2 linked regions of the Pelodiscus sinensis genome follow. The protein of the gene in region 2 purifies or fractionates together with the protein of the main gene of each other region. This does not show direct contact. Links are inferred from orthologs where the notes say so. Each region holds a gene or a part of one and is shown on either strand. Other genes may lie near its edges.

Region 1 (8,261 bases), on a different chromosome or scaffold from region 2:
CTGGACACCATGGTACAAATAAGTGACGGTCACATCAATACCACCCTATACCGAAAACCTACCGACATCTATACTTACCTGCATGCCTCCAGTTTCCATCCCAGACACACCACACGATCCATTGTTTACAGCCAAGCACTGAGGTACAACCGCATATGCTCCAACCCCTCAGACAGAGACCTACACCTACAAGATCTTCAACAAGCATTCTGTAAACTGCGATACCCACACGAGGAAGTGAGGAGACAGATTGACAGAGACAGACGTGTACCCAGTAGCCTCCTGCTACGGGACAAGCCCAAGAAAGAAACCAACAGAACACCACTGGCCATCACCTACAGTCCCCAGCTAAAACCTCTCCAACGCATCATTAGTGATTTACAACCCATCCTGGACAATGATCCCTCGCTTTCACAGGCCTTGGGAGGTAGGCCGGTCCTTGTCCACAGACAACCCACCAACCTGAAGCATATTCTCACCAGCAACTACACACCGCACCATAATAACTCGAACTCAGGAACCAATCCTTGCAACAAACCTCGGTGCCAACTCTGCCCACATATATACACCAGCAACACCATCACAGGACCTAACCAGATCAGCCATACTGTCACTAGTACGTTGTCCTGCACGTAATATGTGCCATCATATGCCAACAATGCCCCACTGCTCTATACATCAGCCAAACTGGACAGTCCCTACGTAAAAGAGTCAATGGACACAAATCTGATATTAGGAATGGCAACATACAAAAACCTGTAGGGGAACACTTCAATCTTCCTTGACACACAATTGCAGATCTAAAAGTAGCCATCCTACAGCAAAAAAACTTCAGGACCAGACTTCAAAGAGAAACTGCTGAGCTACAGTGATAGAGATGTAGCCGTGTTAGTCTGGGGTAGCTGAAGCAAAATGCAGGACAATGTAGCACTTTAAAGACTAACAAGATGGTTTATTAGATGATGAGCTTTCGTGGGCCAGACCCACTTCCTCAGATCAAATAGTGGAAGAAAGTAGTCACAACCATATATACCAAAGGATATAATTTAAAAAAATGAACACAAATGAAAAGGACAAATCAAATTTCAGAACAGAAGGGGAATGGGGGCGGGGAGAAGAAGGTAAATGTCTGTGAGCTAATGATATTAGAGGTGTGCTGCTGATCTGGAGGTATAAGTTGTTCTCAAACTGGAAATAATTGTGGGTGAGAACAAAGTTACATAGGTCTGCTATCAGATTGGCAGTGGTGTCCTCTGGGATAGTGTTTCTAATTGCTTGTAATCCGTCTTCATGTGGGATGTTGGTGTATAGAGCTTTTACGTCCATGATGGCAAGGATGGTGTTATCGGGGAGGTTATCGATGTTTTGTAGTTTAGTAAGTCAGTAGTATCTCAGAGATAGCTGGGGGCGGTGGTTGCGTAGAGCTTGAGAAGAGAATGTCTAGCCAACTACAAAAGCAGTTTCTCCTCTCTTAGGGTATGTCTACACTACAAAGTTAGTTCGAACTAACGGACATTAGTTCGAACTAACATTCATAGGCGATACACTAGCGCTCCGCTAGTTCGAATTTAAATCGAACTAGCAGAGCGCTTAGTTCGAACTAGGAAAACCTCATTTTACGAGGATTAAGCCTAGTTCGAACTTACTAGTTCGAATTAAGGGGTGTGTAGCCCCTTAATTCGAACTAGTGGGAGGCTAGCCCTCCCCAGCTTTCCCTGGTGGCCACTCTGGCCAACACCAGGGAAACTCGTCTGCCCCCCTCCCGGCCCCGGACCCCTTAAAGGGCACGGGCTGGCTATGGTGCCCGTGCCAGGTGCAAGCCTGCCAGCACCCAGCCAGCAGACCCTGCACCTGACACGGCACAGAGCCACCCACCCGATGTCCCCCAGCCCACCCCCTCTTCCCGGGACCAGGCTGGTGGCTCCCGGGAGCTTGCCCATGACCGCAAGAGGCGGGCACCTTCCTGGGCTAGTGCAGACATCGTGGACCTCATCCACGATCTCCGCACTAGGCACAGGAAAGTGGCCGGCTAGGGCAGGAGAGCTGCCAGCCTGGCCACCCAGGAGCAGGTGTGCATGAAAATCAAGGTGGTCCACTGAGACCCCCGACCCTGAGCCCTGAGCTTACGATGGCCGTACTGGGTCAGACCAAAGGTCCATCTAGCCCAGTAGCCTGTCTGCCGACAGCGGCCAACACTAGGGACCCTGGAGGGGATGGACCGAAGACAGTGACCAAGCCATTTGTCTCGTGCCATCCCTCTCAAGCCTTCCACAAACTTTGGGAAGGGACACCACTCCTACCCCCTGGCTAAGACTACTCCATGGACCCAACCTCCATGACTTGATCTCACTTCCCTTTAAACTCTGTTCTAGTTGTAGCCTTCACAGCCTCCTGCAGCAAGGAGTTCCACAGGTTAACTATTTGCTTTGTCAAGAACAACAACTTTCTCATACTAGTTTGAAGCCTGCTACCCATTCCTTTCCTTTGATGTCCTCTAGTCCTTCTTTATGGGAACTCAGGAAGAACTTTTCTGAATGCACCCTCTCCACCCAACCCCTGCTTTTAGAGACCTCTATCCTGTCCCCCCTCCATCTCCTCTTTTCTAAGCTGAACAGTCCCAGTCTCTGTAGCCTCTCTTCATCTGGGACCTGTTCCCAACCCCTGATCATGTTAGTTGCCCTCCCCTCTCCCAGCCTTTCTCTTCCCCTCTCCCACCTCCTTTTCCCAGTCTCCCCCAGTTTTGTTCAATAAAGACAGAGTCAATGTTGGAAGAAACATTATCTTTATTTTGTACATCAGGAAGGGGGGCTAGGGAAGGGTAAGTGGAAGGAGGTGAGGGAGGAATGGGGTACGAGCCCCCGATGGGGAGGACTGGGCTGGCTCTGCGGGCTTCTGGGGGTGGAAGCTCTCCTGCAGCCCCCCAATTGCTCCCTCTCCCCAGATGGCAGCCTGCGGCAAGTGCAGCCGGTCTGATGGCCGAGTGCTGTGATGTGCCCAGTGTGGGCACTCCGGGCACTCCAAGCCAGGACTGGTTTTCAAGCGGGGATCTCCTGAGAACTGTCTGTCCGGTGTGGGGGTCGGGTCCTTTTAAGCGCAGCCCTCGGCTAGCCTGAGACAGCATCTCCACGCCTCTGATGCCCTGCTGGCACTGTTCAGGGTCCACTCAATGTGGACATGCTAGTTCGAATTAGCAAAACACTAATTCGAACTAGTTTTTAGTTCTAGACGCGTTAGTTCGAATTAGCTTAGTTCGAATTAACTAATTCGAATTAAGTTAGTTCGAACTAACTCTGTAGTGTAGACATACCCTTAGTGTTTACACCTCCAAATCAGCTGCCAGAAGTGGGTCTCATCCTGCCTGACTGAATTTACCTTGTTATCTCTAGCCTTACTCTTGATTGGTACTCTTTTCTTATGCTTGTATATTTATACCTGCCTCTGGAATTTCCACTACATGCATCTGATGATGTGGGTCTTTGCCCACGAAAGCTTATGCGCCGTCTCCAGCTTTCTCGCCCCGGAGCTCACAGGCAGCGATCAACCACCTCTACCTCCGGGGCGAGAAAAGCTGCTCCCGGTGCCCCTGGTCTGCTGGAGACCGTCTCCAGCAGACCAGGGGCACCGTGAGTGAAGCCGCAGCAGCGGCGGGTTCCCGCGCTTCTGAGGCTTTGCCAGCGCTGCCTGTGAGCTCTGGGGCGAGAAAGCCCCGTTCGTAAGTGCGGATCCGACGTAAGTTGGGGACTGCCTGTATTGCCACCCTAGCTTCTAGGCTGTTGCATGCAAAGCTTGGTCTCAGTCAACAGCTACCACTCTCTGCCCAGCTCTGAAGGCCACAGTGTGGAAGGGTGGCAAAACATACCATACCAAGCCACCCTTACTTATGGGCTGCTGCTGGTGAGCTGCTGCTTTCGGAGCTGGGTGCCCAGCCCATAACAGGCACTTTCCTGCCTCCCAGTTCTCATAGCAGTGCAGAAGTAATTGCAGCAATACTCCCCAACTCACCACCCCCCAAAAAACCCTTGTGATACCCTGCAGCTCCCTTTTGGGTCAGGACCCCCGATTTGAGATATGCTGGTCTCCCACCTCTGAAATCTGTATAGTAGAGGGTAAAAGCACAAAAAAAGAGACCAGTTTTCAGCAAGGGAGACCAGATTTCATGGTCCATGATATATTTTTTATGGCTGTGAAGTTATTAGGACCTTAAATATAAGTTGTGAAATATTATTTGTAATGGTGTTTTGGCCCTCCTGCCTACTGTTCTTGTGGGATGCCAAAGGGCGCCACCCTTCAGCTCAAGGGTGAACTAGGGTTGCCACGTGTCCGGTTTTGAACCAGTATTTGAGCTTTCTGTCCAGGAAATAAATTAGGAAAATACCGGACATATAAATGTCTGGTATTTTCTAATTAAGTAAGTTTTATTATTATCATGAGTATCAGTTCGTAGTTGCATACTGCATGAGTATCAGTACTGTGTGAGCGTGTCTACCAACCAGGCAGTACGCAACTACACAGTAGAGAGGAGGGGGACAGGGCTGGAGCAGGATGGAATCCCAGGGGCCGGACTCGCCCATGTGCCCCACTGGGACAGTGCGCAGGACGGGCAGGACCCTGGGATCTGCGTGTGCCTGGGCCAGCCCCACTCCCTGCTGGCCGGTTCCCCCCAGGCCAGCCCTGCTCCCTCCAGTGTGAACTCAAATGTAGGGTATAGCTACTGCTCTCACACACCAATTGAAGGCACTATGAAGGGTGTGGATGGTGCCCTATTGCCCTGCAGGACTGCCCCAAAAGGTGTGGGGGTGGTGTGCAGTGATGGGCCTGCTGAGCAATGAGGTTTTGCTCTGGCACCCCAGGGTGCGGTGGGCTACTGTTCTTTTACACTGCATGATCATTGGGGTGCTACGCCCGTAGGGTTCTGCCTCCCAGCGTGCTGAGGGGTGCCGTGAGGTCTTGGGTGGGGTGCTGCCCTTGCCCCCCAGGCTGCAAGTGGTCACGTGGGGGTGCTGTGGGGTCCTAGGTAGGTCACTCCGTGGGGTGCACACAGTGTGTGACTGAGGAGATTGGGTGACAGGCACGCGCTGCTCCCCGGGAGTGACTAGCGGGTAGCCCCCCCCCCCCATCCGCTGTCTCCCACTCCCCCCCCCCCATAGTCCCATCCCTTCTCAGAGCCTGTGTCTGCTGTTGGCCCTTTAAATGCCAGATGGCGGCCCGTGCCGCCGCTGGCTGGGAGACCCCGCGCCTCTAGTGAGAGGTGAAACCAAGATGGCGGTCGCGCAGTGACTGAGGCGGAGACGGAGCCAGTGGGACACAGTCGGGCCTCGCCGCGCCTCAGCCAGGCCGCCAGCCAGCCCGGCCGGGGAGGGACCGCGCGTGCCGGCGCCCGCAGCGGAGCGGGCCGGCCTAACCGAGCGGGCCGAGGAGCCGGGGCTGAGCCGCAGCAGTAGCGGGAGCAGAAGGAAGAAGAATATGGCGGCGGAGCCGGGCTGGGAGTGAAGCTGCCGCCTGCGAGGGGAGCCCATGGGGGAGACTGGACGCTGAGCCCGGCCGCCTTCGCATCGCTCCCGGGACAGGCAGCGCCCGCTGGCCGCCCACGAGCCGCTCCTGAGGAAGGAGGGGCCGCGCCGCCTCTGCCCCTCTATTGACAAACTGCGAGGGGGCGTCGGGCCTGGGCAGCGCCCGCACAATAGAGCCGAGCGCCGGGCAGGGGGCGAACTGACCTCGCTCCCTCCCTCTGCCGCCGATCTGCCACCACCCTAGTCACCTCTGTTGATCTCGCTTCTTCCTGCCCCCTTTCCGTCCAGCGCACTGCCCTCTCGAGTCACCCCTCTCCTGCTGCCCCATCCCCAGCCACCCCTTCCCTCTGCTTTCCCCCACCCGCTTCATCTCCCTAGCCATCTTTCTCTGCCATCCTCTTTTACCTCATTCACCAGCTCTCCTCTGATATTTCTGTTCCCTCCCCACACTTGCCCTGTGGCCCGTTGCTTTACACCTGGCAATCGCCAGGCTTCCCCTCCTGAATAGCACCTCCTGGTCCTCTGTAACTGCTTCCCACCTACCACCCCCTTCCCCAGCACTCTGCCCTGCCTCCAAATAGTGAGCATGAGGAGGAGACTGCCCCAGCAGTGAAGAATAAGGAGCGATCCCGGGGTGTCTTTTTGGGACTGCTACTCTCTTTTCTGCGCCTCTCCTTTGAGGGGGGCCTAGCCCCCCACCAACCTCCTGTTCCTTTAGGTGTCACAGGCCAGGGTGGTGGCTGTGGTGTGACAGGCGGCAGGATGACCGACACCCGGCGGAGAGTGAAAGTTTACACGCTGAATGAAGACCGCCAGTGGGATGATCGAGGCACTGGACATGTGTCCTCTGGCTACGTGGAAAGGCTGAAGGGCATGTCCCTGCTTGTCAGGGCAGAGAGCGATGGTAAGTGGTGTGAGAACATGGCAAGTATTGTAATCTTTTTCCAATCCACCTACAAAAAAAGATAATGGCTTTATATATCTGCTTTGTGATTTTATCTGCATAATTTGTATGTGATTCTGAAATCGGGCAGTCAGCAGCTATCGTTAACTCTTGTTAGGCTATATGACAAGGTTGGAAGATTAAGACAACACACTCCCACTCCTCAGGTACACACTTGATGCATATTGGACACACTGACATAAAGCTGTATACCACATACAGGTAGTACACATTTCACACACTATATTGCACACCACTATCCCATTTCTCCCCCTCCCCAAGATTTTTTTTCCCTAAACACTAATTGGGATCTCTTGTTGAAATAATTGATAATCCCAAGATTAAAGAAACTATTCACAGTTTGGATTAAATGTGTTGAACATAAAATATTAAAATTATTTCATTGTTGTTTCTTGTCTATTCAGCTTTCTGTAGGTGGGTTGCAAATATATTTTTCACTCTTTAGAAGTGTATTAAAGAGTATTTTATAATGTGTAGATAGATACTCGCAGTTTTGATTTCAAGACAATACAAAGAACAAAACAACATTTTGAGGATATTTTTAAGCAGCTACTGTATTCTGCGCTCATGCTAAAACTGCCCTTAGAATTACCCCTGAAATAATAAATTCACTTAAAATAAAGCATATCACCTGTTTTTCTCTCACTCCAAGCATGTTTTGCTACATTTTGATAGGTTTGTGTATGAACTATCCTTGATTACTTGATCAGTGAGTTAATGATTACTGTAGATTAAACTTTGAAGTATAGCTGGCTTCATTTAACTCTGGTACCATGAATGTAGTCTGTCCTATCTCATTTAACCATATAGTTATGTACTGGGTGATGTTTTTCTGCCATTAGCTACTTCCTGGCTTTCTATCTTACATCTGGGGAGGGTGGGTCATTCTTGTAGATTGCTGTTTATATTTGATTGCTATCTCCCCTATGTTTATTTGGTTTTCCTTGTGCTGAAACTGAAGGATAGAAAACTTCATTGAGGTCAGTTACTTAGTCCAGTCATTGTAGAAGAGGAAGTGCATGTTTTCAGGAGTTATCAGGAAATCCTAAATTGATACAGTAAGAATCAAATGTAGTAAGTTGATTATCCAAAGCATGTTTAAATGCTAATTATATTGACTTAAGTCTTTTAAATTGCTAAATTATTATTAATAAATTATGAAAACTAACTATATAATTGATTTTTTACAAAGAAGTTGGAGACCTGTTCTCCCCATTCTCTTCTGCATGTCTTATTTCTTAGGTTAGATAAACTCGAGATGGCAGTGGACCTTTATTATTAAATTTAAGGGTGGTGGGGAGCCCAGTGAGAAGGAGGAACATCACCATTATAAACAGGTTTATGTTACAGTGGTATAATTCTAGCACTCACCATCACCACTGTAGCTTTCAGGAGCTAAATAAATTAATAAACTTCAACTGAAACTTCAAATGAAAGAACGATGTTAAAACACCAAATGCAGTAGTAGTAGTGTTTTAAAAATACAATGATCTAGATAGAATTTTTGAGCATAAAATGCTGCAGGTTGTAATCTGACTGTGAAGAAGCAGTCTGTTCAAAGGACACAGTCTTCCACTGGTTTCAGTTACATTTGCATATACAGATTTATTTCAGTAGTTTCATTGCTGTAAATGAGCTTGTATAAATCTATTAAAGAAAATGGAAGTATGAAGTATTGTAAGTGTTACTTTAATGTGTATCTAGGAGTTACTGAATTTTAAAGATTAGTTATCCATAACTTTAAAAAGCAAACCAGCATTTTTAAAAATGAATAACTGAATTAACAT
Region 2 (8,408 bases):
AGCCTCCCCACTGGCTCTCTGGTCCAGGGGCTGTATCGTCCAGCAACAGATGTTGCCGGACCAGTCAGTCACATTCCACAGAGATTCAGTCTGTATATATTGTGCAGATTTGGCCCATGTTATGCATAGAATGCTGCACAGCAACTCTCAGTGGTGAACAGGTTGAGAACTACTGTGGTACATAGCACATCCCTGGATCTCATGCTAAACATAATAAAGTAAAGAAAGAATCACAGAAAGACTTCAAAAAAAGGCAGTTGACAAACAGAAAAAGTGGCTGAGACTTGCAAATGTAAATATAATTGAAGGAAGGAATGAAACATAACCTCAACTCACCAAAGTTAATGTACGTGACTACTTTGAAACCAAAGGATCAATTAATTAGACTACTGACAGATTTAAAGTTAGGCATGGATTTAAGATGAATTAGAACCTAGAAGAATACAAAAATGTAGATCTGCATCCACCAAGATCAACCCACAATCTGCTAGTCATCTTTTATCTCTATCTGCATCTACACCATCAAGCCATCTCACAAAGACTAACAACTGGGGAAGTGGAAGGGGGAGAGGGGAATGATCTTTCAGGCAAGAGATAGCACAGAATATGTAGCATGAGGGTTGGAACTGGAGATAAATGGTAGTGTGGTGTCAGGGTCCGTGTTCCCTGTCACCTATGTGCTTGTGTGGCCACTCCAGAGAAATTCAAATGCTGCCCAGCTCATTAGCAGAGCTCCCAGTTAGTTTTGGTGTTTCTATTGGTGATGCACATTAGGAATTTTAAAATAAGTTTATTTTCGTAAACAGCAGTTACACGTTTACATGCAGGGGAGCAGATAGGAGCCAGTGCTCTTGGGATTCCGGCTTTTAAGATTGCTCCCCACAAACACTGGCTCCCGTCTGCTCTGCACACACACACCTGTCATGCTGCTACCTCCATACCAGAAGCAGAAGCACAGGGGGACAGGCAACTGTGCAGGAGCTGGCTTGCTCAAGGACCCAGCTTAAAAGCTGGCTCCCCATAAGCACCAGCTCCCACCTTCCTCCCTGCCCACTATTTCCTCTGTGGGAGGCAGCAGTATGGGTGGAGGGGGGAGACATGCTCTGCGGGAGCTGGCACATGAGGGGAGCCGGTTTAAAAGGCAGCTCCCCATGGACACCGGCTCCCACCTCCTCACCGCCAGCTGACTCTGTGTGTAACTGTGAGGGTTAACCAATGAACCTAGGTTTACCAGTTAACCATGTACACGGGTACAGAGTACGATTTCTAATGCATTTTCACATATACATTGGTGTACATAAAAAAAATTATTCCACACACGGATGGAAAAAATCTGCACATGGAGCATAAAGATTAGAGGGAACATTGGTCAGGATCTCAAGGAAGATGGGTGGCAGAGGAGGAAAGGGCATCACATTGTGTGCTGCTCCTGAGGACTCACAAGTGACAGCACACAGCACCAACATAGTTGAATCACAGTGAGGTACCAGGGTACCACCAGCTCCAATCCCCATGGCTGGGGGAAGGACCTGTTTACCAAGAGTTGGCAGGCTGAATGCAGGACTGGGAGCACAGCCACTGTAACCATGCCTCTAATACAAAGAGTACGTCTACACTGCAACACTATTTTGAAATAACTAGTGCTATTCCAAAATAACTTAGTCCGTGTCTACACAGCAGGCAGTTATTTCAAAATAGTGTCAAAATACCGTCAAGCTGGAGAACTTCTTACTGCGACTCCTGTAATCCTCATTGCACGAGGAATAAGGGAAGTCAGAGGAAGAGTAAGTACTCCATTATGAAATAAGAGCAGGGTAGATGCTCCCTATTTCGAAATAAGATACGCAATTGATGTAGCTCAATTTGCATAGCTTATGTCGAGTTAAGCCCTGCTGTGTAGATGCACCCAAAGGCAGCAGCACATACCTCTGATACACAGGCAGCAACCAGCATCCCAGGAGCCAACGTGCACTGGGAGCCAGCTTTTAAATTGGTTCCCAACATGTACCAGCTGCCACCTCGCATTGCAGGCTGTGATACAGAGCCCATAGCTGACTCCCCGCAAGCAGGGCAGGATCCCATGTGTAATCATTCATGGTGGGTTTATCAGGTAATCATGTAAACCAGGGGTTCCCAACCTGGGTTATGCGTACCCCTAGGGGATATGACAAGCTTGTCAAGAGGGTACGGGGACTATTTGGTAAATAACTAATTTATCCTAATGGAAATATTCCAGAAGTAGCAGTGTTAGTGAAAAAATTTGCAGATTCTAGAGACTAGAATTTATTTCCTTTCATATTGACTAGGGGGTACTGGAAGGTTTACTAAAAGCCAAGCGGGTACGGGGACCGAAAAAGGTTAGGAACCCCTGATGTAAACGGTTATCCTGTTTCATCCCTAAAGAGAACTGAGGCATTAAACCAGCTTGAAAAGGGAAAAAGCAGCGAGACGCCACTTAGCAAAGAGAGAGGCGCCCCAGTCCCAAGAGACAGGCGGTGCCTGTAACTCCCCTCCCCACACCCTGCCCTAGGGAGCCCGCTGTCCCCCCGCTGCAAGCAAGCGGTCCGGTTCGCCGACGGAGCTGGGGATAGGACTCCTCAGCGCTTCCCCCCAGCGCCAAGCCAGACGCGATACCCGGACGCGGCGCGGTGCCTCCCCTCGGCCAATGGCCCCGCCAGCGGCGGCGGCTGGAAGAGGAGCGAGGAAGCGGCGGCCGCCCCGCGCCGAGCACCCCGGCCCCGCTCACCTGCCACCGGCTGCCCCCTCCTGGGGCAGCGCAGCCAGCGCGGCGGGATCTTGTTGTAGGACATGGCGGCGCCTCCTGCTGCCCAGCAGGGCTCGCGCTAACGCCGGGCCGGGCGGCTGCGGACGCGGCTCCTCCCCAGTCAGCGGCTCCGGCAGCCCCTTCCCCGCGGCAGCTTCATTCAGACCCAACTCCACAGCAACCGCCTCTCCCCACAATGCACCGCGACGCGGAAGCGCCACTTCCGCTTCCGGGGCTCTCTGCTCGCCAGGGCCGAACGGCGGAGAGACGTTGCTTGGGCGACGACGTTTAACGTCAGCCCCCCCCCCCCGGGCCTGGCTCGGGAGTCCGGGTTTGGACGGGAAACCCAGTCGCCGCCCGCGTGGGGAGGGTGAGGAGGGAGCCCGGGGACCAAACCCCCGCGCCCACCTGCTGCCCCGCACTTAGCTTGGAAGCGCCGCGCGGCCGGGGGCAGGACTTCATGACCCCTGGGGTCTCTTCCAGCGCTATGGTTCCATGAGCGCCTGGGTGGCGGGCGCTCGCACAAAGCAGCCTGGGCCGTGCCTGGGACTCCTGCGGCTACTAGAACAAGGGGGGGAGGGTACAAGGAAATAATTGAACAGCACTTTAGCGAGGAGGGGAAAAAACTAGAGTGACTGGACAATAAGTGTGAAAACTTGGGATGCTTTTATCTTTGGGCGAGAGGTACTAGTCGCCAGGCTATACAAGAAAACGGCTCCAATGTGAGCTCATCTTGTCACTCTGAAAAACACACACACACACACTCTCTCATAAGCTGTGACCTTAGTCCTTCCTTCAGATTCATGTATGGAGGAGCTTCTGTATCCACCACATCCTATGAAAGTCAATTTGGCTGCATAGGAGCCAAAGCAAGACTGGCAACTAAATTATTATGTATTATTTGTAGCACCATAGCACCGAAGAGCCTCACCATGGCCTTGAACCGTGTTGCACTGGGTGTTGAACAAACAAGATAAAAAGATGGTCTCTGCCCCAAAGAGTTTACAATCCAAGTACAAGATAAGACATCAGATGGCTATCAACAGACCAGCGGGAGCACAAGCCAACAATGGTCAACATGATAGTGGTCTCAATCCAAGAACAGCCAAATCATTTGTCAAGGTTTTCTTTTCTTTTTTAAGAAGCATGGCAAAGGGGAGTTTTGAGGAGGAATTTGGAGGTGGATAATGAGATAGCTTTGTAAAGAGTGATGGAGAGTGTCCCTAAAGTACCTGGGACTGATGAGAGAAAACAGGTGGAAAGTGGAGGCTGGCCTAATTGGCCAGTTGGCTGCAAGCAAGTAGAGTTTGATAGGAAGAGGGATTGATTGACTGTGAAGGGATTTCAAAGTATACACAAGCATTTTGGATTCACAAAGAGAAGTGATAAGATAAAAGCAATAACTTGAGAAAGTGAATACAAGCAGTTTACCTTTGATGTGTGTGAGAGAAGAAAATGCCTGTGGAGACATTCAAAAAGAGGGGTGACAAGGTCAAAACAATGAGCTAAGAAAGTCATCTTTGTACCAACATTCTGAATGGATATGCACAGGGCAAGACTGCATTTGTCAAGGCCAAAGAGAATGATATTGTATTAACCGGGGGTAATAAATTATGAGAGCTTGAATGAGAGTTTTAGCTGTACAAATGAATAAAAATGTCATATCTTAGATCAGTGGTCTCCAACATTTTGGGGCTGCTGGGCGCCCGGGGGCAGGGCCGCACATGTGCGGCACGGCCAGGGGTGGGGCTGCGCACAAGCCACGCAGCCGGGGCCATGTCTGGGGTGGGCCACACATGGGCCATACGGCCAGGGGCGGGTCTGCCCATATGCTGTGCGGCCGGTGGCGGGGCCGCGCATGCACCGCGCGGGCAGGGGCGGAGCCACTCATGCACCGCGTGCCCCGGGAAGGAGGGGGGCCACGCATGTGCCGAGCACTCAGGCCCAGGGCGTAAGAATGGCTTGGGTCGGCCCTGGTCACTTGGCAGGTGCACATAAACGCCCCGGCGGGCGCCATAGCACCCGCAGGCACCACGTTGGGGACCACTGCCTTAGATGTTACAAAGAAAGAATTGGCAAGATTTTTTACATATAGCCCTGCAAGTGAGAAATTACAGAGAGGTCCAAGTTGCAGATGACACCCTGTATCAATATTTGGACACCGGGAAATAAGCAGTTTCAATTAAAACAGCTAATTACATTTTTGCTGGTTTATTTTCTGATTGAATATTCTAAGATTATTGGCTAGATACCAACACACATAGCTTGGTTAAACTTAATACACTATTACCAGGTTCAACCATTCATTTGGAGGTAACATTTCATTTATTTTCTGAAACTTTTCAGCACATATGCACTATTTTCTATACTGTACTGAAACTAAAATTCCATTTGTTCCTAAGCTGAATGTGCAACAGGCAGACACTAGATGGTGCCAAAAGACCACGTGGAAAAAAATGAAATCTGAGTGCACGAAGTCCTAATCAAGATGAGAAAAGAAGCAAAAAAACAATCACAGAATGCCAGATTCTGATTTCAGCAAGATTATTCACAGAGTAAACTGAGCAAGGGTGACAGAAATAGGTCCAAAATTACATACACTGCTGCAACATAGTGTAGTACAAACTAGGGATGTGACCGACTAATCGACTGTCCCATAAGCAAATGCTTATCGGATAGTTGACACACTAGTCCACTAGTCTCTTCCCCCTTCCCTTGCTGCTTCTATCAAAAAAAGGCAGCAAGGTGTAGGGAAGAAAAGGGAGTGCTTCAAAGTGGCAGTGCCGCATAGAGCCTGGGGCCAGACCCTGGGCTCCATGTGGTGCTGCCACTTTGAAACACCATGGGGAGCGGAGGGCTAGCGGGATATTGCTTGAGTCCCCCACTAGTCCCATGTTCTCTGCAGCACTTTCACCGTTGGAGTGTAGCAACAACTCAGGGGCTGTTGCTACACTTCAACAGCAGGGTGCCCTTATCAACTCATTGAATAGTTGATGCAAATTGCATCAACTGTTCGATTAGCCAATAAATCTAAATTTAACTTCCCTAGTACAAACAGGTTATGCTCTCTTTGTGCCTGGAACTGTGATGATAATATGACATCTGTCTCTATGCTACTACATATAATTTTAAAATTTAAAAAACAAAAATGTATGACTAACAAATTAAGAAATAATAAGACAAAATTGTTATTTTGTTATATTATGATAGAATCTAGAACCCTTGTTCAGGATCAGGACCCACCTTAGAAACTGATTACTCCCACCTCTTTAACTTACCTATCTGGTTCAGAAACACTAATAATTGGCATTTAATAAAATCCTATATAGAATTTGATAAATTCCATAGTTATCTATTTTTGCTCAAATTAATGATTACATTATTTAATAATTAGTTTGGGATTGGAGCCTCATTATGCAAGGCAATGGGCATACATATATTAAAAGGATAGTTGCTGTCCCAAAGAATTTTTAATCAGTACTTTAATGTGATGAACTCCATCACATCAGTAAGAAGTCAATCCATTTATTCACAACTCTATGAAATAATATTTCCTTAAATCAGAGAGCCCCAAACTGTTGGGTGCACCTCCACCCCAGGGCATCTATAATACCAGGAGGAACATTTGGGACACACAGGCTACGTCTACACTGGCCCCTTTTCCGGAAGGGGCATGTAAATTTCAGCAGTCGTCGTAGGGAAATCCGCGGGGGATTTAAATATCCCCCGCGGCATTTAAATAAAAATGTCCGCCGCTTTTTTCCGGCTTTTAAAAAAGCCGGAAAAGAGCGTCTAGACTGGCCCCGATCCTCCGGAAAAAGTGCCCTTTTCCGGAGGCTCTTATTCCTTTGAAGTAGGAATAAGAGCCTCCGGAAAAGGGCACTTTTTCCGGAGGATCGGGGCCAGTCTAGACGCTCTTTTCCGGCTTTTTTAAAAGCCGGAAAAAAGCGGCGGACATTTTTATTTAAATGCCGCGGGGGATATTTAAATCCCCCGCGGATTTCCCTACGACGACTAGTGAAATTTACATGCCCCTTCCGGAAAAGGGGCCAGTGTAGACGTAGCCACAGTGGGATCTGGGCCAGCCCCCAGGAAGGCAGGGAGAGATTGCCACCCAGCCATATCCTGCCCTCAGCTCTGCTTCAGTCCAGGCTCTCAGCTAAATTTGGAGTCCCAGCTACACGACCCCCTTTTTACTGTGTGGGTGGCATAGACTGCCTAAGTGTGCTAGAGGCTGGTCCTGGCAGAAACCACTAGACTTGGAGACTTCCTGGATTACGAATAGAGGGACTGGAGCTACGTCTAGACTGGCATGATTTTCCGCAAATGCTTTTAACAGAAAAGTTTTCCGTTAAAAGCATTTGAGGAAAAGAGCGTCTAGATTGGCGTGGACGCTTTTCCGCAAAAGCACTTTTTGTGGAAAAGTGTCCGTGCCAATCTAGATGCGGTTTTGCACAAGAAAGCCCTGATTGCTATTTTCGCGATCGGGACTTTTTTGCGCAAAATAAATCTGAGCTGTCTACACTGGCCCTTTTGCGCAAAAGCTTATGCATAAAAGGACTTTTGTCTGAACGGGAGCAGCATAGTATTTCCGCAAGCACTGATTTCTTACATGAGATCGTCAGTGTTCTTGCGGAAATTCAAGCGGCCAGTGTAGACAGCTGGCAAGTTTTTCCACAAAAGCAGCTGCTTTTGCAGAAAAACTTGCCAGTCTAGACACAGCCTGGGTGTATCCCTTGGCACATAGGCTCTCCACTCTTCAGACCTCCCTCTACATAGGAGATGGAGGAAGCCTGATCATGCAACTCTCAGATTTTTTTAGCAGGTTCTATGAGAAGGTGCCCCACCTACTCCAGACATCTGGCCCATCAGACTTTTACATTGGGCCTTTGCCCTGCAAGCTCCCCAGTCTCCCTCCTTTCAACAATCCAAATTGACTGCATGCCCTGCAGTCAGTTTGCTTCTGAACCATGCCTAGCAAACAATTCTATATGCTCATGCTACAAACATTTCATTTCCCTCTTCCTCATGTCCCACCCCAATACAAAGTGGCAGGACCTTTTACTACATGTGAAGGATGAGGTACCCTAGTGGGCCAGCCTATACTCTATCTTGGTCCCACAGCCACAGGGGATGTCAGTTGGCAGCTCCCTGCAGATGTGAGCACAGTCGTGTGCCTGGTGTGCTTCACTTACATCCCTACCAATGCCAGTCCATTTTACAGTGTGAGGGAGATCTTTCCCTATACTTACCTGGAATGCACAGGTTGCAGCCCCTTTTCCAGCCCTTTCAAAATCTCCTGTTAAGGTTTTGGCAGCTCTTCTCCCCATACCTTTTCATGTATGCGCAACTGGTCCGTGGCCCCAAGAAGTTTTGAGATCTCCTTGTCAACCACCATCTGTTGCTACCCAAAGTGGTCATCTATAATACCAGGAGGAGAATGGTAGATAGGGAGGTGCTCTGCAACTGTGCAACCTATTTCCTGCTCCTTTTTTGTCTCATTATGTAGACAGAGTTCCTCTGGGCAGCCTCTGCTGGTTTCCTTGGCAGTTTTCTGGAGCAGTGGGTACTGTCTGGGGTTCTCTGCTCAATGCCCACCTCTGGAATCCTAGTTTTCAGCCTATGATCCCCACTCCTGGCCCTG

What was found.
Region 1: the proteins of RNGTT (region 2) and PPP4R3A purify together in Homo sapiens (affinity purification with mass spectrometry; 3 studies listed by BioGRID and IntAct, with this or other methods). This does not show direct contact. The link is inferred for Pelodiscus sinensis from reciprocal best matches to the Homo sapiens genes RNGTT and PPP4R3A.

The regions. Positions count from the first base shown.
Region 1 is NC_134714.1:31,304,802-31,313,062, forward strand, and holds the start of PPP4R3A (serine/threonine-protein phosphatase 4 regulatory subunit 3A), read left to right. Parts: upstream 1-5,226; 5' UTR 5,227-6,272; coding exon 6,273-6,414; intron 6,415-8,261. UniProt on the Homo sapiens protein: Regulatory subunit of serine/threonine-protein phosphatase 4. May regulate the activity of PPP4C at centrosomal microtubule organizing centers.
Region 2 is NC_134713.1:63,848,687-63,857,094, forward strand, and holds the start of RNGTT (mRNA-capping enzyme), read right to left. Parts: upstream 3,063-8,408; 5' UTR 2,811-3,062; coding exon 2,747-2,810; intron 1-2,746.